3 linked regions of the Astyanax mexicanus genome follow. The protein of the gene in region 2 interacts with the protein of the main gene of each other region in a biochemical or structural test. Links are inferred from orthologs where the notes say so. Each region holds a gene or a part of one and is shown on either strand. Other genes may lie near its edges.

Evidence for each region. The genes of interacting proteins can lie anywhere in the genome.
Region 1: the proteins of rab5c (region 2) and rabenosyn-5 form a complex in vitro, tested with the Homo sapiens proteins (2 studies listed by BioGRID and IntAct, with this or other methods). The link is inferred for Astyanax mexicanus from reciprocal best matches to the Homo sapiens genes RAB5C and RBSN.
Region 3: the proteins of rab5c (region 2) and eea1 form a complex in vitro, tested with the Homo sapiens proteins (2 studies listed by BioGRID and IntAct, with this or other methods). The link is inferred for Astyanax mexicanus from reciprocal best matches to the Homo sapiens genes RAB5C and EEA1.

What each region holds. Positions count from the first base shown.
Region 1 is NC_064419.1:14,644,898-14,652,871, forward strand, and holds the start of rabenosyn-5, read right to left. Parts: upstream 3,015-7,974; 5' UTR 2,865-3,014; intron 1,981-2,864; 5' UTR 1,868-1,980; coding exon 1,705-1,867; intron 362-1,704; coding exon 230-361; intron 1-229. UniProt on the Homo sapiens protein: Rab4/Rab5 effector protein acting in early endocytic membrane fusion and membrane trafficking of recycling endosomes. Required for endosome fusion either homotypically or with clathrin coated vesicles.
Region 2 is NC_064426.1:26,224,209-26,231,537, forward strand, and holds the start of rab5c (ras-related protein Rab-5C), read right to left. Parts: upstream 3,016-7,329; 5' UTR 2,847-3,015; intron 1-2,846. UniProt on the Homo sapiens protein: The small GTPases Rab are key regulators of intracellular membrane trafficking, from the formation of transport vesicles to their fusion with membranes.
Region 3 is NC_064416.1:21,085,721-21,092,718, forward strand, and holds the start of eea1 (early endosome antigen 1), read left to right. Parts: upstream 1-3,984; 5' UTR 3,985-4,140; coding exon 4,141-4,164; intron 4,165-6,998. UniProt on the Homo sapiens protein: Binds phospholipid vesicles containing phosphatidylinositol 3-phosphate and participates in endosomal trafficking.

The sequences.
Region 1 (7,974 bases), on a different chromosome or scaffold from region 2:
AGACAATACTGAAATAATAAATGTCAACTGATGACTATGCAATAGTTTCAGCTACAAATAAGTTTGTGACATTGTGAATTCATTCATTCAGACTTTTTTTTTTATTTTTTCCTTTTCTGATATTATCAGTCCAACGTTTCTATCGGTATCAGAGAAATACAAAGTTCTCCAATTACAATGTGCCAGGTATATTGTGCTCTGTCATTAGCAGTAATTCCCTCAGTCTCACCCAGTTCCTGAGGCTCCCACATGTAGGGGTCCACTCCTCCACAGTAGAAAGACTCATAGCTGGTCTCAGTTCTCTCGTCTCCATCCCGTTTCAGAAGCTTGTCTTTGGCCTTCTTTGCCTTCTGCACTAAACCTGAGTGACAACATAGAAAATATATCAAAGTGATTCCTATAATAGAATAGTGCACCAGTTGTGCTGGTACTGTAATGACTGGTAGTGGAAGTAGTGGCAGTCAGAAGTATAAATGTACCGAAAACAAGCTTCAGACTTGTTTATTTTATCAAACGAGAACTCAGACCGCAGCCTCTGGCTTTACCACATTACAAAAAAAAAAAAAAATCACAACAAAAGTAAGAGTACCTCAGGGGACAACTTGGGAAGACCCACATTGGTTTAAATTGTAAGGTGTTTATCTTGTGAGTAAAGCCAGCTTGGTAACATGAATTATGGAATTTCGAGTGAGGTCGGCAGTACTGGTACTGGTAAGAATGAGAATATTTTTAAATAGGAGTGCCACCGGGGGCAGTGTGTTTGCACAGAACACAGCGTAATACCAACGTTTTTCCCGACAGTCCTCAGTTTCTACATAAAGTACACGCATAAAGCCAAATATGGAATTATTTAGCATACGAATCTGACAGTCAGATAAGCCATGAACATCAATACCCGTCTCTTAAGTATGTTTTATACCTGCAGACCAGACGAGAAAGACGAGAAACAGCTCCAAATAGCAAAGCATCTTCTACACAGAACTGCAGACTTGTTTTAATAATTCTGAGAATTCCTTTATTGAATATTATAGAAAACAATTACATCATGCTTATATCCTCTAAAATAACTCAGAGGAGTGGGAGTGTTTTTGTGTCTTTTTCAGTAGGCTAATAACTATGTTTTTTTTTGTTTTTTATTTTTTTTAAATAACCACTAATAGGGCTCTCTATACAATTGGACTGGCCCAAACTTCCTGTACCTTAACTTTAAGAAAAACTAAAAATAATAATAAAAATCAGGCACTCTCAGCTGTACTAGTAAATTTAATCATGGCTCATATATAATACGAATTTCTATTGCTAGGAATTGCGATTACCATAGATGTATAATGCCATAATATCATTAAAAGATTAATCAGTGAGTTCTACTTGCAAATACAAAGTTAACTATCAAAGATATTTCAAAGACCTATTATGTTCTTACTAAAGAGAAAAGGAAAAATAAATAAATAAAGATGTTAACAATGATGTTTATTCTTAATGTATTCATCTTTATGTTTTTTTTCCTTTTTTAATTATAAATTTAAAAAACAAAAAATAGCTTAATTTCTGACATTTTTGGATTTTGCTTTGAAATACGTAGAGATATTTAGAGGAGTATCTTATCAAATATCATAATTTTGGTATTGTAACACTAAAATCTGTTGGCCAAGTCAAGCATTGATTGAACCACTTAACCAAGGTAATGTATTAAAAAGCACTTACTCTTTATTTGTCCTCCAACATGGTGGCTGTCTCCAGAGTGCTCCTCCTCATAGTGGTCCTGCAGCTGATAGAAAGACTGCAGGTCCTTCAGACAAAGAGGGCAAAGGAAGCCCTCCTTTACCTCAGCTGAGCCTTCAAACGGAGGAGGGTAACTAGAGGCCATGGGTCAAGGGTTGAACAAATGTGCTGGGTGTACTATGGCACAATGGGTGATATCCAAAAGCTCATAGCATATCTGACTGAAGGCAGCACACACTCCAGACCTTCTCCATCACTCTGAAAAGAGAAATACAGTAAATATGTTAGTAATTAGGTATCATTAATAATTAGTTACAGCACACACAAAGGAGTCTATATTCATCTCTACTGTTGTTTAAGACCAGACCCTGCTAATCTCTTCTTTTGTCTTCTCTATCAATCAGTGTTAAACCTTACAGCTTCAGCATTCAGGATCAGTATTTACTCATAAAACATCTGAATATCATGTTTCTTTTTCTCCTGTTTACTTATTTATTTATAGAAACACAGAAAATGCAGAGATAGTCAAATAAGCAAGAGGTGCTTCTTTAAAAAAAATAAAAATCTAAAACATATTCTGGTTTGTTTAACACTTTTTTGTTTACTAAATAATTTCAGATGTTTAGATGACTTTGGTATTAATATACAATACAGAACATTTAAAAAACACAGAATTTAAGGTGTTTTCGAATTACTGGTACTCTAAGTCTTATTTAGAACGACAGACGGTGTGTACTAATATAGTTAGCTACGTTAGTTAGCTAACGATTAATACCCGATGAGATTTATAACGCGTTAACAAAAGCTTAAACGGTTAGCTTAGCTTGCTAACGTTAGCCAACTAACCTAGCTAGCTGCGTGCAGGTTAACTGGGCGTGTATGAACGCTGTATTATAATGATAATAAATGAGCTCGGACTGTTCCGACAGTCCTGAGAGATTGTAGGATAGTACATTATAGCGGTTAAACGTTTTAGAGACAGTAAAAAACCTTCAGTAACGGCACTGTGTCGGAGCTGATACTGTTATAACCCCCGTTACAGCATAACACAGCAGCAGAGCCGCGGCGGAAGGAGCCTCCGCACAATTTAAACACGCAATTACACCGGCGTACAGTCACTCAGAGCCGCGGCGGGGTCTTACCGCAGTCCGCTGCGGCTCCGGGGAATGGGAGAATGTGTGTTGGGGCGTGTAAGAGTGTGTGAAGTTGCAGGAGGTGAAACTCAGCTCGACAGCAGCAGCAGCGCAGCCTCATCACACGGTGGGTCATGTGACCCACGTTCAGTTGATACGGCAGCTCGGAAGGGACACTGCGATCAGGCAGAATTGCCAACAAAATGTGTTCTATGTTAATCTGCACTTCTTATAGGATAATGACTGCTAACTAAATACATGAATTGAAACAACATATTTAAGGCAATTTACTTGAAAAACATTAACAAAAACTTCAAAATCAATGTAATAATTAAACAGTGCATATACAGTAGCGTGAAGAAGTATTTTCCCCATCTAAAGATTTTGATACGGCAGCTCGGAAGGGACACTGCGATCAGGCAGAATTGCCAACAAAATGTGTTCTATGTTAATCTGCACTTCTTATAGGATAATGACTGCTAACTAAATACATGAATTGAAACAACATATTTAAGGCAATTTACTTGAAAAACATTAACAAAAACTTCAAAATCAATGTAATAATTAAACAGTGCATACAGTAGCGTGAAGAAGTATTTTCCCCATCTAAAGATTTCTTTTGTTTTTGCTTTTTTGTCATACTGAGATTTTTCCAATTATCAAACAAACGTTAATATCAGATTAAGATAAGAGTAAATATAAAAAATGATGAATGAATTGAATGATAATTGTATTTACTATAGGGAAAAAAATTCCAATCCAATCTAGCCCTGTGTGAAAAAGTATTTGCCCTCTTGACCTAATAACTTGATTGGTGGCAGCAACTGCAATCAAGCTTTACAAATAACTGGCAAGGAGTCTTTCACATCTCTGTGGAGGAAATTTTGTCCACTCTTCTTTTCAGAATTCAGACACACTGGAAGGTTTTCGAGCAAAAATTTTCTGTTTAAGGTCATACCACAGCATATCAACCAGACTTTGACTAGGCAACTCCAAACCCTTTAAGTCACGTAAAATAATCACAGCAGTCCAATTTCAAAACACCACAGAGAGTAGTCTGCCCCGAACATTGGCATAGGAACCGGGGGGATATTAGAGACAGGTGGATTTGTTTAACTTTGGAATTAGATAGATAGGTATTCAAGGTTTAAGGAAAAAATAAACTATGTAATGTTCAGCTTGCCCTGATGTACCTTATCAGCTAATCACTATTTCATTTTCAATTTGTGTTCATTCATTTAGGATTACAGGACTTACTGTATACTATAATGGGAAAAAAAGCTAGTTAGCTAGCTGGATGTTGTGGATGGCCAGAATTTAGTCCAGTACTTTATGTCTGTAGTTTAAAGCAGTTTCTTAATCCTGGTCTCTGCCCTAAAATTGTGTGTTTTCCATTATAGAAGTGCATAAAAATTTAAAGCACAGGATCCAATGCTAATATGTTTCTTTTTAAAGATTGAAGAAAATGTAACTATACAACAGAATTGACCTGCCAATGCATAATAATAATAATAATAATAATAATAATAATAATAATAATAATAATAATAATAATAACCAAATCTGTTGTTATTATTTTAACTATCGGGTGATAACTGGCATATTTTTATAGAATTATCTGAATTATCTTTATATATTATCTGGTGCTCACGACTTAGTATGTTGTGCTCACGACTTAGTAAGTGGTGCTCACGACTTAGTATGCGGTGCTCACGACTTAGTATGTGGTGCTCACGACTTAGTAAGTCGTGCTCGCGACTTAGTATGTGGTGCTCACGACTTAGTATGTGGTGCTCCAACTTAGTATGTGGTGCCCACGACTTAGTAAGTGGTGCTCACCACTTTCTATGTAAAAAGAAAAATACACCACGTCCCTTTAGGGGCTCCGTATAATTCAGACATTGCACGCATATTTTTTTTTCTAACAATAGTAAATGTAATGTGGAGTAACTTGTTTAGGTTGTAAAGTCACCTTTACTTGGATGTAACTAATAATAAACAGAAAAAAGGGATTACTTGTAATTAAAAGTAATTCCACAAATGTTGTTTTAGGACCCTATAGGGTGGCTCATACGCCCTTGGCCCCGACCACCCCTAGCCAGACACAAATTTAGGACGCTGAATCTATACAAAGTAGGAGAGACGGAGAACTTAGAATACAAGCGAGCGGAGAGAGGAGAAATACGGCAATTCTAAACTCTTCTTAAACCTGTATCTAGCGTTATATTGACTGTATGTTACATGAGAGGGACCTAAAGTTACATCATGCTGTATTTGACCGCCAGAGAGAGATCTACCCAGATAGCAAGTACTTTGGCCCAACATTGGCAAATGTCGCCTATGTCACACGTAGAAATTCGACGTCAGAGCAACGTTGGTCTGTGGTTGGCAGTATTTTTAGAACGTTGGATAAAGGTCGTTAAGCAGCGGAGGTCGGCGTCAAAATGCCAACGTTTTTCCAATGTCAGTCTCACTTTGGTCTTTAGTTTATTCCCAAACTGTCAAGTCTCACACACGAATATTGGATCATGGCTCCTCCATGGCTCGTGTTCACGGAAACAAACAAAAACCCACAGACAGACACACAGGGCACAGAACACACACACACCGCAGCTTGCCGTGTTCCAGTCATGCTCCAAAACAGGTGTGTGCATCCAAAACAACGTTGGCACTTTGACTCCCATCTTGTTTGTGTGTGTGTGTGTGTTGTGTACACGGAGCACTTCAGCTGTCACAGGTGAAGTCTAAGCCTTTAAACCAGGGGTGTCAAACTCATTTTAGCCAAGGGCCACATTGGCATATTGGCTGTCCTCTGAGGGCCAGATGTAACTTAGAAATGTAATAAAATGTAACCAAATGTAATATAAAATGAATGTAATTACTCCTTAATGTTAAATAACTCTCAATATATTATTTATTCAATCAAATATTACAGTTGCATGGAAAAAATGTTTGCTTGTTGCTCTATTAACATAAATCCTTTTAATTTGTCATGTTATGAAATCCAAAAACTCCATCAATCAAGAACCAAACTATTCAAGTGAATATAATGACATCAAGTTATATTAACTTTGATCAAAACGTTTGATATTGAAATAAGCCTTAATAAATATAAAATAAAAAATTGTGAGCTGTTAAGAACATGTGACAGATTTTTGAACATGTGACAACTTTTCTTTTTCTGGACATTATGGGATAAACATTTGTATGTCTCAATTACACCCGCGAAGTTACGCCTTCCCTCTGGCAGGGTTTCCACATCAATGACTACACTGCCGTGTAGTGGCAGTAAGCCGTAACTTCGCGGGTAACACAATCGACAAGCATTGTAGGAAATGTAGTTTTTGGTCAAAGCACGCTTCTGACCTATTTATTATAGACACTAACATTTTACAAGCTCTCGCGGGCCACATAAAAGGACGGGCCTTGTGTTTGACACATGTGCTTTAAACCATGCACAGGCTGTACATGAAACAAATGCTGAGATTCTGAAGCGCGTGGTCATTTACACGCAGGGAAAAACGACCGTTAATTCAGGCTTGTGTGTGTTCATATTTAAATTAGTTGAAGCTGAATTCACCTAAACGCAGTTGGATAAACTCAAATGTAGCGGGGTAAGGTTAAATTAAGATAATATATAATAATTTATAATATAATGCTGTTATTCAAAATATATTTTAAAGTATACAGTATATACAGTTGTGGCCGAAAATGTTGGAATATATATATATAGAGCCAAGCCAAGCAATAGTTACATCAAGTTAAATATGTAACATTCCTTCTACATAATCTCTTTCTGTTTATTTATTTATTTTTAAATCAAATTAACAGAAATACATTTTGTAGAAGGAAGGCAAAATATTTCAGCTTGATGTAATTATTACTTGGCTTTTAAACTACTTTGCACTAACTAGCAATAAATATGTATAATTTTAAAATGTAAATAATTCATTTAGAATAGTCTTCTTTTTCTCTTTCAGTGACTGACTCCATGTCCACTGGTTTTTTTTATATTAGTGTTAGTTATGTATCACATACATGTTTTTTCCACTTCAAAATACATTCAGTAAATTATTTTAGCAATCATTTATTGTTGTTTTTTTCACATTCTTGATGGTTATTTAATACGTAACATTCTTTTTACATTCAGTTATACATATTTGTGGGCTAATAGATTTTACTATATAAAGGTTTACAAAGCCCTTGTCTTGCTAATGTTAACTGGTCAGAAGCCAACATTAGGCCAACCTAGGCCAAACATCAAACATTGGTTGACGCCCAACATAATTACTGTTTACAAACACTGTCACTTTAAACCGCACTGAGACGTCAAATATTGGTTGACACCCAACGTCAAACCAACGTAAACAATGACGTTGAGCCAACTTACACTTGCTATCTGGGTAGTTTCACCCCTGTGCTCCACACAGACTCTGCACTGTACCAGAGAGAGATCTAGCTTCACCTCTGTGCTCCATGCGGTCTCCGCGCTGTACCGGACAGCCTGAGAGAGATCTAGCTTCACCCCCATGCTCCGTACGGTCTCTGCGCCGTACCGGACCACCTGAGAGAGATTTAGCTTCACCCCGCGTTATCACCCCCCCTGCTCCGTGCAGACTCTGCACTGTTTCGAACTGCCTGAGAGAGATCCGTGCGGACTCCGCGACATACCGGACCGCCTGAGAGAGATCTAGCTTCACCACTCATGCTCTGTGTGGACTCCGCACCGTACTGGACAGCCTGAGCCAGATCTAGCTTCACCCCCCGTGCTCCCTGCAGACTGTGTGCCGTGCTGGACCTGAGAGAGATCTACCTTCACCACCTGTGCTCCACGCTAACTTCATGCCATGTCAGACACTGTGCTGCAAATGGACTCCGCTCTGTAGCGGACTGCCCAAGAGAGATCTTGCTTTACCCCCGGGCTCCAGGCAGACTGCGCTCCGTAACGGACCGCCTGAAGATTCTATTTTCAACACCCTTGCTCTGCACGGACTCCATGCCGTACCGGTCCGCCTGAGAGAGATCCGTTTGGACTCCGCACTGTATCGGACTGCCTGAGAGACATGCGTCTGGACTCCTCACTGGACCGCCCGAGAGAGATCTAATTTCACCCCCCGTG
Region 2 (7,329 bases):
CTAACACTGCTATTTGGTCCTTTAAACTATGCCATAAAAAGGGAAGTAAATTTAATACATGTTTTTGTTTATCTCATTTTAACAAAGTTAAAGAATATATCCTGTGGTTCTTTATGGGACAATAAGAGGTTCTCTAAGGGCACTGCTCAAAGAACTACGTGAAGCACCTTTATTTTTAGGAGTGTAGTAGTGCAAAATTTATTGACAGTTAATCATTGTCATGATACTGGCTTTGGCAGTATTGATATTGCACAGATAGAGATAGTGTATTGATATGGAAGGCTTGATAACAGCAGAAAATCTTGGCTTGGGTTAGAGGTGGGCAATAACTTTAGAAATCTGATTTTGATTGGATTATTGATTTATTTTTTTAACCTTGGAGTCCTGATTTACATCATCAAAAAAACATAAAAAAAAGGTTTTTGGTTGCCCTATGTTTATGTTCTTAGAAAATCATACTGTGTTTGATGGCGATTTGTGGTTCAGCCCTGTCCTTCTATTCAGCAGAATTATTACACAACCTCCAGCTTTTTTCTCTTTCTATTTTCTTTACCATCTCTTTCACATGTATTGAGATGCCCTGTTCTCTCTGTGCTGTTGTTTTGTTGTTATATGTTTGTACTGAGCGGGTCTTGGTTCCACTTAAGGTTTCATCACAATTATTGGCATCTCTGTAGTGCTCAAATCACAAGAGGCATGGACCTGTTTTCTCTGTAAAGCAGCTTTGTGACAACTTTTGTTGTAAAAACCTCTATATAAATAAAATTGAACTGAATTGAATTTGAGTGGGTCAGGGGTTTGATTTTATTATCCAATTGTTCTGTCCTGTAAGGTACAAGTGTTTTTTAAATAAAAAGGCCCTATACAATACAAATCTTAACATCAACAATATGCCCAGAACACACAGCACTACCTGAGCCACAAATAAACCTTTAGAAACTGCTCTTAGCTGAGAAAAAACTACTCTCCACATCAGTCATCACATGTCAAGCCACAGCTTCAGCCATGAGGTGTCAAACCATCACTGTGAAAGTGATAAAAACATGCGAAGATCAACCTCAAGACACCATCATGTGTAGCCTATTCGAAAATGCTAGAGAGCAAAAGTCCACCCCTGTGCTAACTTAGCTATATAACATGGTCAGCCTTGTGTTATGTCAGGTCACATAGCTAAATCCTTACTGGGTATCAAAGGTTAAGAAACAGCATTAAAAAAAATGAAGCTCCATCAGAACAACCCAACAGAGGCAGTGGTATAACCTTTTATCACTATGACTCAGCCCAAAACACTTACTAACTCTAGTTAACACGACTGACCACAAACCAGGTCTTCATATCAGTTATTTGACTTTATGAGACAAGTTCAGACAGGCGTAGGCCACAGGAAACTCAAAGTGAAGGCTACAGCAATGACTCAGCTGGCTAGCCAGCTACTGTGGCTGGTCTGGTTTAGCTTGAGAATTAGCTGACTTTCGATTTCTGTGTGACACGCACCTAATTTTACATATTCCCAGTACTAGAGCTTCCCTTTAACATAAGAACATGGACTCTTTGATTAAAAATGTATCTTAAGATGGAAATGGTTAACTAAGGTGCATGACCACTCCTCCTCCATTTGATAGCTAAGCTAAGCAGATTGGCTGGCTAGTTAAATGGGACATTTAAAACTTGAGCTCTGATCCTGCTGCATAAGATGAGTATAACTCAACTTACTAGGCTAACTTAACTAACAAGCTTAGCTTAGCTATTAAATTACAGCAACAAAATAGCTAAATAGCTAGCTAGCTTAACCCCAAACACATCTCCAACAATAATCACATAACGTTAGGTTGGGTTAGCTAGTTAGCGAACCCTACCCAACACAAACCCATGTCTCATAAGCTCACTTTTAGGACTTTTTTGTCATGTTTAGAAACACAATTAACCTCTAAAATATATGACATTAGCGACATGCTTACAAACAAACAAACTATAAAAGGCAAAAGCTTTCTCTTAGAAGCATAGCTAAGCTAGCTAACATAACGCTAACGTTACCTCAATAGAAGGGGTGGGTAAGCCAGCTCCAGAAAGTAAGAATCCCTCCCAGAGTTTTGTACCAACTGCCTGGGCGGCTCTGTTGCAGCTGAACCGCCCAGGGAGTTGGTACAAAAACCTGGGATGGATTTTTACTTTCTAAAGCTGGCTTATCCACCTCTACTTAATAGTCGCTTTAGCTAGATATGGTTAGCTAAGCTAGATATGCTAGCAACACAGTGTCCACATAAAATAGTGACCAAAGGCTAAATGGGCAAACGCTTTTTTAATGGCGACTAGCGACAAATAAACAACCAAACCAACTAAATATGTGTTTTAATCGCACAAATACACAGTTAATAAGTGAATACGACATAGAGGACGTATCTATGTTTATTAACAACGCCAACAAGCTCGAAAAAGCAGAAGCTGCCTGCAGACACCAATCCACTCACTGGCTAAGCTGGCTAAGCTAGCTAGCTAAACTAGCGTTAGCTAACAGTCTTCTGAATTTGTTGTTATGTCAACAGGCTAATCAAGATAGCTAAGCTTAGCTATAAGCCAACTAATTAAGCTGGTGTCACTGGTAAAACTAGCGTTAGAGTTTTAATACGTGTACTCACAAGAAGAGAGTAGGTTTAGCTAAATAGACAGGAGACGCTTTTATTAAACTCCAGGCTGGGGAGTGAGTTAAGCTAACGCTAGCCAGCAACGTAGAAGCTAACAGGCGATAAACATGACCGTTCAGCTGTCTAACCAACGTTTTAATACCTGCCATCGACAGTGTCGACCAGAAAAAAGCTGTTAACTGAATAAAAACGTGCTGGATTTACCTTAGAGTCTCTCACACGGAAGACTGACTCAGGGTCAGAGCGCAATTCCTGCCTCTCGCCGCCCCAAAGCTGCCTCTCTCACCACGGGCCCCGCCGGCATTCGCTTCCGCGACTTCAGCGATCCTCAGCGATCCTCCTATTTCCGAGCGCAGGGACTTTTACTGCTGACGGACTGGGAGAAGCACCAGTCAGATCAACTCACCTGCAGACAGAGAGGGGAAGTGTTGCTTGTGTTTCCTCAGAGTCAGAAGTTTGGATGATTTTAGTTCTTTCTGAATATTGTCAAATAAAAGACTGAGGATACATTTACTTGTACTTTAGGCTTAATGCCTCTAAAAGCCTCGACTGATATGACTGACTGACTGGGCGTCCCCTCCCCACCTGAGGTAAAATGAGGTAAAAAGTATGTCGTATTATAGTTATTGAAATACTAATTGTATTCCTATGTGATTCATTTATCTGTATCGTTTTCTCAATTTAGTTAATTACGGACTCCTTCAGTTTAACACAATAAAAGTGTTCCCTTAAATTTTCCCATTCTTTTCCTTAGTTTAATAAGGTGTTCCCTCAATTTAAAAAAATCGTTCCATTAATTTAGGTAACCAATTACTCTAGTTTTATTAATAGTTCCTTTAATTTTATAGATCATTACCAAACAAACCACTCCACAAATTTAATAATTCATTGCCCCATTTTAACAGTTTAGCCCCATAGTTTAAAAAATAGTTCCCTTAATTTAATAGATCATTCCCAAACAAACTGCTCCACCAATTTAATAAATTGTTACCTCATTTTAGCAGTCCAGTTTCTTATTTTAATAAATTGTATCCTTTTATTTAAAAAACTTTCTTTGATTTAACAGTCTGCTCCCTTAATTTAATAAATTATTCCCAAAAAACTACTCCATCAATTTAACAAATCATTACCTAATTTTAATAGATCATTCCTAAGCAAACTTCTCCACCAATTTAATAAATTGTTACCTCATGTTAACAGTTTAGTCCCTAAGTTCAATAAATTGTTCCCTCAATTTAGTAACATGTTTCTTCGTTTTAACAGTGTGCTCCCTTAATTTAATAAATAATTTCCAAACAAACTGCTCCACAAATTTATTAAATCACTACCTCATTTTAACAGTCCAGTCCCTCAATTGTTCCCTCAATTTAATATCTTGATCCTTCTATGTAACAGTCTGCTTCCTTAATTTAATATATCATCCACAGTTCTGGTATGTAAAATATACGCTACTAACACTCATTTTTGACATAGATGTGAAAGTGCATCCATACAGCATGTCTAGTCTCTGTAGAAAAGTACTGCCAAACAGAATAAAATTCTCTGAATTTACTGACATCATGCCAAATGCCAGAAATGAAGTGGAGGAATATAAAGCCCCCAGGATTGAGCTGTGGGAGAGTGGAACTGTGTTGAATGATGGAAAGCCATCCAACCATCCAACATCCTAAAGCAGGGGTGTTCAAACTTTTTCTGTTGGGGGCCAGAAAGAAGAAATATATTTGAAGTCACGGGCCACAGACTCTGTAATAAAACAAATAATGAAATACACCACTTTAAATAATACATTTTCCTCATTACTTTCATTTACACACCATTTTACTTGACTTACTATCTTTATCTATCTTTGACAGTGTTGTGTAAACTAAGATTTTTCAAATTGATGTTTCATTTCATGAGGTCTCTTAATATTAAACTCCTTAATTACGGCAACTTTTAGACTCTTTGGCCCGTTTTTCTGCGCTAAAACTGAGCACTCTCTTCGCTTTTAGACTTTTTGGCCCGTTTTTCTCCGCTAAAACTGAGCACTCTCTCCGCTTTTAGACCCTTTGGCCCGTTTTCTTGCGCTACAACTGCGCATCCTCTCCGCTTTTAGACTCTTTGGCCCATTTTTCTGCGCTAGAAATGCGCACTGTCTCCGCTTTTAGACTCTTTGGCCCGATTTCTGTGCTACAACTGCGCACCCTCTCCGCTTTTAGACTTTTTGGCCCGTGTTTCTTAGGGCTGGACCCGAATATTCGGGTATTCGGATATTCGTTCGTTGAGTAGGTATTCGGTTTTTAATTTTGGTATTCGGATATTCGTTTTTTTTCTCCTTTCCAGAGTTCCACCTCACTCTAACCACTTCTGTTCTCGCGGGTCCCGTCAGAATATCTTGCGCGCGGGACAGAACTGAACTGTTATTGGCTGGAGCGGGAGTTTAATCCAGACGATGCGGGAGCAAATTAATAAATAGTTAAGAAAACTGTAATAATTGTAAAAAAAAAAACCTAAAGAAAACTCTCAACGCGCAGGATGGACCGACACACACGCACACACCGATGGTGTTTGGACTGGGGTAAGGAACGGGACCACACTATTCAGCGCTGCTGTTTTAATAAATATATAAGTAAATTTGAAGCATTAAATGTAGTTTATTTAATTTATATTAGGAACGCGGGGCGGGAGCGGCAGAAATGTGTATGTGGCGGGCGGGCGCGGGATTAAAAGAAGCAATTTTTTTGCGGAGCGGTAACGAGACAGAAACGCGGGAGCGTGGAAGAGTGGGTTTAAAAATCAGTCTCGCGCAGACCTCTATTATACATGATAAAAAAAAATGCAGGCTCTTCGAAACTGATTTATATAATAAAACGTAAGGGGTAATGTGGCAACAGTAGGGGCTAAATCGGTTACAAAAGCCTGGCCTACAAAAATGATGTCTGAACGAATTTCCTCTTATCTAATATAATTTAAAATGGTTTAAAAATATAAAATAATTTCTAAGCAAACGAAATATTTAATATTGAGCTTATAGCCCAAGTGCAAAAATACAAAATCAGTAATACGGCTATGCCCTGCACAATCCTTAAACCGAAATAGACCAAGTACAATAACGTCATTAACAATGACTTTCCTCTACTCTAATATAATTTAACATGGTTTAAAAATATAAAATAATTTCTAAACAAACGAAATATTTAATATTGAGCTTATAGCCCAAGTGCAAAAATACAAAATCAGTAATATGCCCTGCACAATCCTTTAACTGAAATAGACCAAGTACAGTTTACAATGACTGTCCTCTAATATAATCAACAATGTTTAAGAATATAAAATACTTCCTGAACAAACGTTTTTTTTGTTTGTTTTTTTAAGCAAATAGCCTAAGTGTGAAAACACAAACAGCAATTTACTGGGCTGGCTTGCGCAGCGGAGAAACCGTGCAGCAGCAGCCTCGGTGTGGGGCAGCAGAAATTCCGGGATGAAAACACAAAGAAATCTGGGCTAAAAACACAGAAAAAATATGGGGTGAAAACACAAAAATCCGGGATAAAAACACCAAAAATCCGGGGTGAATATGTCTCGTCGGTCAGAGCAAATTGAACATTTTTCAGTGGATTAAAGGGGCCGTGATTTGCTTTTTTTTTTTACCTCTTTTTTTAAAAACGAATATTCGAATATTCGCTTCGAATCAGTGCCGAATATCCGGAGCTCAAAAAACGCTATTCGGGCCAGCCCTAGTGTTTCTCCTCTAAAACTGAGCACTCTCTCCGCTTTTAGACTCTTTGACCCGTTTTCCTTCGCTACAACTGCGCATCCTCTCCGCTTTTAGACTCTTTGGCCCGTTTTTCGGCGCTAGAAATGCGCACTGTCTCCGCTTTTAGACTGTTTGGCACGTTTTTCTGCGCTACAACTTCACTCTCGCCGCTTTTAGACTCTTTGGCCCGTTTCTTACACCTAGCGTTCAAACTTTGAATCTCACATTATAAAAACCTGCTTAACAGCGGGCCAACTTTCATTCTATTTCATTCTAGCCTTTTATGGATATTAGAGACAGTTCATAGTTACAATAAACTATTTATTAAAGACCTTGATTTTGAACGAAACAATGCATCTCCTGGTGTCCCAATAATTTGGTCCATATAGTGTATATTTCTGAATAACTCATTTTATATTTTCCGTTATAAATCACCTTCACTTGATTCATTTGATTGAAGAGACTAACTATTTCTACATCTGAAACAACTTAAATAACTGTATCTGTAGCTGTTTCTATGGTCAAAAATAGTTAGCCTATTGCCTGAGGTCATGTTGTTACTTGTAGTTTTGTTTATGTAGTTTACTTTTAAAAAACCTTGTTCTCTTCATCATTTTATTGAGGAGATTAACTATTCCTTGTGGCTGAAACAACAGATACAGCTGTACCTGGCTTACATTGCCTGAGGTCATGTAGTTACTTACTTTTAGTCAAGCACGTTTACATTGATGAACCCCAAACATTTAAATAATTTAATTGAGGAAATTAACTATTCCTGTGTCTGATACAGCTGTGTAGTTGTTACTAAGGGCAAGAACAGTCAGTCTACATTGCCTAAGGTAATGTTTTTTTTCTTTTATTAATGTAGTTTTACCTTTATAATCCTGAATCACTTGAATCAACTGATTGAGGGTCTTAAACTACTGGTATTCACTGTGTCTTATACAACAG
Region 3 (6,998 bases), on a different chromosome or scaffold from region 2:
AGCTGTGCACCACACACAGGAATTTCTCTTTGGACTGGAAAAAGACTCTTTTTGCATGTATTGTTTCCATGTTTACTATTTGAGAAATGTTTTTTAAATCGTTGAGAAATCAGAGGAGAGCCTGCCTCTGACTTTTGCCTCAAGCTTGTAGTGTGTATAGATTTTCATTTTTCTGCAAGACAGTTTGACACAGCCAAACAAGAGGATGTTGGAATTGAGCTGAAAGTGAAAGCTACAGTGACACTGGTGGACATTTCGGATCGTGATCTGTGGATGGAATTACGAAGAGGTAAAGAGAAAGAGCTGAGATGACTGCTGGATTTATAGTGTTATTTATTCATGGTTTGAGTGGTGGTTTAAAAAAATGAATCTTTAGATAAGAACAGGATAATAAAGATGTGCAAAAAAATACTTGATGTACAAATTCACAACCAAATTGCCAAAAAATGATTTTTTTTTTAAGCTATTTTCTTCCGAAAAATTCTGAAAGTTCATTATTATTTGACTGAGCTTGGTGCCTTTAAAAGCAGTCAACACTCTTACGCATCCTCAAGTTCACTGGGATGTGCCTCTGATTGCTTTAGAAGACTTTAGTGCTATTTTTTGCCTATGTTCTAAATCTAAAATGCTGTAAGTTGTTTTCACGGGTTGATCTTAAATGTGAACTCAACCTATTAAACAGCTGTTTATTAACTGCTTTCTGTGTGTCCCAACAATCTTGAAACCTATTTAATGCTGGCGACTGTGCCTCAACTTTTGTTGTTATTGTTTATAAATATCTTCTCAACAGCCCTGGATCATTGAATGGTAAAAGACAATTGAGGCAAGAAAGCTTTTGATCTTCAAATTCTTTAAGTATTGTCATTATGCTTATCCACTTGTACAGTATAATACAATGATCTCTGCATATTCCAGCTGGGAAAACTAGGATCAGAGTGAAGGGCCTTTCCTACAGTAGCATTTGAGTGAACCTGGGTCTAGAACCAGTAACCCAGCATTCTGGTGACTGAGCCACCAATGCAGTCAGTTAAGGCAATGACTGAACATTAAATTGGGTCCCTGCCTGGGTTATTTGGCTCTTTGCTGTGGTGGGAAATATGTTTAATGTGGTTATTGTGAATGAAAATGCAACCAAGGCAACCAAAATATATTATTTCCAAGCTGCTAACCTTGGGTTAAACAATGAACATTTGTATTAACATTTTACCTGAAACTGCCAAAAACTGCCATATGTCATTTCCACCTTTCATTTTGCTAATGACCTTAATAAATGAAAACTACTACTCTCTACATGATACACCTGTGATTGACATTTACCTAGAATTCACATTGTATTTCTAATAAATGATAATGAAATATAAAGACATTGATGACTTCAATTGCAAAATGTTCATTTATACTCTATACAATTATTGGCAGTTTTTAGTAAAATATGTTTTTTTTTCTAGTTAGGGGGTGTCCTGCCCATTATATGTTGTGACTACAGCCATGATTATTAGTCCTACAAATGACTGAAGACAAATTTCACCAATCATGTCTTCACTAATGCATTGGATTTTGATTTTGTCTTCACTGGTTTTTATTGGATAAATAAATGCTGTATATGCACTTGTGGTTGAGAAAGAAAGGATATATGATGTAGATACCAATGTATGCAGTCTTTGTATGCAATATTCAGGCTACAGATGTTATACGAAAAATCTATGGTCATCTGTGTTTGAGGAAGATTAGGTCAAATTAGGTCCTTCAGTTTGGGCAATAAGTGCCCAAAAAACACCTTACTAATAATTCAAATGTCTGGTAGACCTCTTATTAATATTCTGAAAATAATACATTAGCACTAACATTAATACAGTGGAACTTTTTTGTTGTTGTTCCAGATAAAAGGTGGGTCCCGATAAAACCACTTTGAAGAGCCGTAACAGTAGTTACACTACAACTGGTAGACTACAGTCACACAGGTAGCTATGACTTCCAGAAAGCCCAGAAGAAGAGGTTTTTTTTCTCATGAATTCTGTTCCACCCACTGGTTAATTCCTCTTTCAGTTCCTGATTATGCTGCTGGTTAAACTGATGTATTTAGCTCTTCAATTCTGTTCTTAAAGTCAGAACAAAACAGAAGAGGAGCAAGTTGGATTAAATCTAAACAGATTTCCATTCATCTACGTCTCTGTTTCTTCGTGATACCTGGAATAATCACTAGGTAAGAGGCAAGGATACCTCCAGGACCAGATGCCAGTGCAACACAGGGTACTACCTACTCATTCATTCACACTCAAGTTGGTGGCAATTTGACTACAATTTGTGTTTTTGATAGTTGCAAATGGAAATGTAACAACTGTGTGGCAACAAGTCAGATTCGATTTAATATTTTTACATTTATTCGAAAATTACTTAATTGTGAAACTGCAACGACATGCGAATGCCATGATAATTCCAGACTTTACATATTGTCTGACAAGTTGGGTATAGGCTAACAAATCTACACTGAAGCCACTTGATATTTAAACACACTCTTGAGTGTGTTTGCCCACTCTTGGTATTTTAATCTTAGTGGCTTCATGAGGTAGAGTCACCTGAAATAGTTTTCTCAGCGTCTTGAAGGAGTTCCTGGGGGTCCTGAATAATAGTTGCTGCTTTTTTCTTCGTGCTGTGAAGCTTCAGCTCATCCCAAATCAGCTCAAATCACCATCTCAGCTGATACGGTTTAGGTCACATGATACTAAATAATGTGTCCCTAATTTTCATGTCTTTGATTTTAATCTACAAAATAAATAAATGTAAAATAAAATATAAAAAGAAATATAAAATAATAAATAATAAAATAAATAAAAAATAAAATAAATAATACAATTAAATAATACAAATATATATATAGAAAAAAAACATTGGATGAGAGAATGTGTCCAAACTGTTGGGATTTGAAATTGAATGGCAGTTCCTCCTCACTGTCTGAAATGCTTTTCTGGGGGAGAAATCTTTGTGTTTGTGTCCTTAATGTTCAAAGCTGTTTTACACCACAAAATAAGCTTTTTGGTTAGAGGATAAATTCTGGTACTTCATATTTGCGGTCTTGTAAAGCAGGCCTCGCTGTTTCTCCATTTCTCCCTGTAATAAATAACTGGAATTGAATGCTGTCAACAACTGGATCAATTTTACTGTTGCTTCAGAAGAGTCCACCTCCTCCTCCATACGACCCGGTAGGTGGTGGACATGTGTGGTCTGGCAAGAGTGGAAAATACCATCGTGTGTGATGAGCAGAAGTGGGTAACCCTGGGACCTGGGTTACCCACCTCTAGTAATGAGTGACTACAGATGAATGTGCTTCTATTGGAGGGAGGATTGGATTTTAGAAATAGGCAAATCAATAGTTATCAAATAATAACCGCTGAACTTTGTGTAACATTGTTCATTGTGTTCATTATGTTTGTGCAGAACCAAGCTAATTTATTTTGTACATTAGTATGTCCCTCTAAAACGGTTGCAATTTCTCATGTGGCCTCTTGGGAAAATGAATTGCCCACCCCTGGTCTAAAATGGTCAGTGTAACATTTATTAGTTTAATTTTCTGACTGTACCAAGCTTAAATAAAAAATAAGGTATAAAACTTCATATTTTTTCCATTTTGTTTAGTGAAGAGTTAATTCACTAAAGTCATTATTTAGTTTTTTTTTATTTCAGCCTTACACAAACATAATTTCGAGAAAAAAATAAAAGTTTTATCTTCTCTTGATAATCATATTTGCCCATTTTTGTGTCTTGTAACACAAAGCTGATGTTATAATCCAACTTGGATGAAAAAGTATTTCTTGTACACTGCACGACATAAAAAATGTTTTTATTTCCAATTTTCTAATTTTGCATTTTTTTCTCAAACGGTCAGAAAATTAAGCTGCTAAATGTTACACTGACCTGAAATATCAGTTTTTAACCGAAATCCTGCCTGAGTGCCGAGTCCCTCCTCCCTCCTCCACGCAGCTCCGCAGACCCGCCTACCCACTCATGTGCTGCTGGTTGACGCTGCGGTGCGCTGCGCTCCGGGCAGGTGGAAGGAAACACCCGAGAATAACATTATACACCAGCGGAGAAAGACCTCCTGACTCGTGACAGTTTAAACTACAGAAAAACAACGAAACCAAAATGTTCAGACGAATATTACAGATGGTAAGAATAAAGGAGAATCCTGCAACGAGGCTGCATCAGTAGCTATGGCTTTAGTATGTTTAGCTAGCTGGCTAAGCTAGGCTAGTTTTGCTAACGTAGCGGCCGTCAGTGGAGGCTTGAATGGAGGCCTGTATTAAAAAGGCAGTAAGAAATAGCTAAGCTAGCTAAGCAGGGGTGTGTCTATTAAACTGCTATTTTAAAACATATATAGTAGGTCAGTAGCTAAATGTAGCTGCCAGACAGGGCAAAACAACGCAAAATTGCTTGTTTACTGTTATGTACTGCCCTGTAAACAGTACGTTAGCTAGCTAACTTACTAGATAGCTAGCAGGCTAGGCTAGCTAGCTTTAGCCTAGTAACTGTGACTAGCCGTGGTGCCGAAAGGCTAGTAACGCTAGCTCAAGCTATAAAGCTGTCATGGGCTCATTCTGAAAGGTTTCAACTAAATAATGTTAAGTTCACCCAGTTTATTAGTCGTGGGAGTAATATTAGTTGTTGAATTAATGAGAGAGAAGTTTGTTTCGTTGTTGTCAAGTGTTTTTCATTTATTCCAGGGGCTTGTGTAATGGTTTACTGCATTCTGTTGAATGTTGGCCACTTTCTGTTTCTGTCTGTGACTGACCAGCTTCTTCACTGTAGATTATCTAGGTTAACTACTAATGCATCTAAAAAAAATGTTATCATTCATTGAAAAGTTACATAACTACTTTAGTAATTCAGTGCAAATGGTGAAAATCATATATTATATAGATTTATTACACACACACACACACACTGATCTATTTTAAGTCTTTATTTGTTTTTTTGTTTATGATTATGGCTTATAGCTAATGAAAACCAAAAAATCAGTTTATGAGAATATTGAAATATTATCTATATAAGACCAGTTGGTACTATTGGCAAGCTTAGCAATGTGCCAAGTCCTACTGAAAAATGAAATCCACATCTCCATAAAGTTGTCAGTAAAGGGAAGCATGAAGTGCTGTAAGATTGTCCGGGAAAATACTGCACTTTTTTTGTACTTGATATAACACAGTGGACCAAGACCAGCAGATTTTCCCAGTAATTCTTGCAGCACTTCATGCTTTCCTCTACTCACAACTTTATTTAGATGCGGGATTCATTTTCCAGCAGAATTTAGCAAGATGTCCACACTACCAAAAGTACCGGTTGGTCTTATATTATATTCTTCTTTACTAAGACACTGATTTTTGGGTTTTCATTGCCTGTATGGCATAATAATCAAACATAAAAGAAATTCATGTTTATAATTTAAACAGCTTTTAAATCTTATGGCAGAAGTAATCGTTGACTTATTTAAAAAAATAAATAATCAGATTAGTCAACTACCAAAATAATCAGTAATTGCAGCCCTACTTGACTGGTCCTTTTAAGAAAAATGCAGTAGGAGATGGGTATCCGTGTGCTAAGACTTGTTTGTCTCATTGCTGGATTGGGAAGGATAAGGGTGGACCAGTATTTGGACACATTCTACTGTCATTCTATTAGAAGACTTTTTTTATTAGACATGTTGTAAAAGCAAGTTTACAGTGTTAATACAAGCAAGGAAGAGCCAAATTGTCTTAAGCACATCTTTATTGTGACAGAACACTTTAAGGGGCAATTTTACCAGATAGAAATTAAGCCTAGTTTTGGACTATGCAGCATTTGAACTGAGATTTTCCATTGAAAGGAAACCTTGTCTCTGTCAGGGAAAACAGCCTAAGTGTCTGTCCCTTGTCTCTATGTTAAAGTAATGTCTGAGGGGAGAAAGGCTACTGGCTGCTGTTAGTACAAAAGTATATTCATTACTCCTAAAATGTGTCCCGACTATTATATAATTAAGTATAGTTACAGAATGTATTTATTATTAGGTTTATTAGGTTTTAATAGCCATCTAAATAAACATTGGCTCAGACAACAGGAGATCTCTCTTGATGCCACAGCCATCTGTAGCCAAGAGTTCCGAGCACAAGAGTACAGTTGGCCTAGGATGGCCCTCTCCCACTACATCACTTGGGGAGATGTTTCGTCCCACAAGCCCATTCAGCTGTCCAGTTTTGGAAAGATAGTTGGAAAAGGAACGGTTGACTGGCACATGCTTGCCTTCTGGTTGCATTAGGAGATGGTGTTAGAAGTTACTACGTGAGCGAGAGAACTGGGGCATTACAATAATCTGAAGCCCTTTTGGAATGACTCATTTCCCTGGAAAACCAGTGGGCAAGTGTTGCATTGTTATTTTAATACAACTTACTCTTACTGCACTGACTTTGATTTAGCCTACTTGGAAAAGTGAGTGACATGCCATGTGGTGTCGTGTAATATTGTTTGAATCACCAGTGGCTGCTGTTTTCCGGTTGCTAGGGTCAGTGTTTGGTGAGGAGAAATGTATAACGCTTCTCTTAAGCAGTATTATGTTTCAAGTATATCCTCAAATGTCCCTAATCAACAGCCATGCCAAGTGCAACCATAAAGGGCACAATGCTGTCACACTATTTTTTTAAAGTTCACCTTCCGCGAAAATCCGATTTTTCTTGTTTTTTGTGGAATACAGTAGGTCTCTCCGAGTTGAATGTGTACACCTGCACATTAAACTGTTTTGCAGCCCCCATTGTCTGCAGGAGCTAAGCAAAGAAATCCCCCCTCCCCCCCTCCGAAAAACGGGTGAATTTTGAATTATCTTTCTGCCTACGTAGGCAGAAACTCACAGACCAGCCCACCTTGGCTCGAGAAACTCCCAGAGGCGGAGCTGAAGCGACGCAACATCACCGCTCATCAGTTAGGAGGTGGGAGGCAGTGAGCGGCAGAGCGGTGGAGGGGCGTCGCAGTGCTCC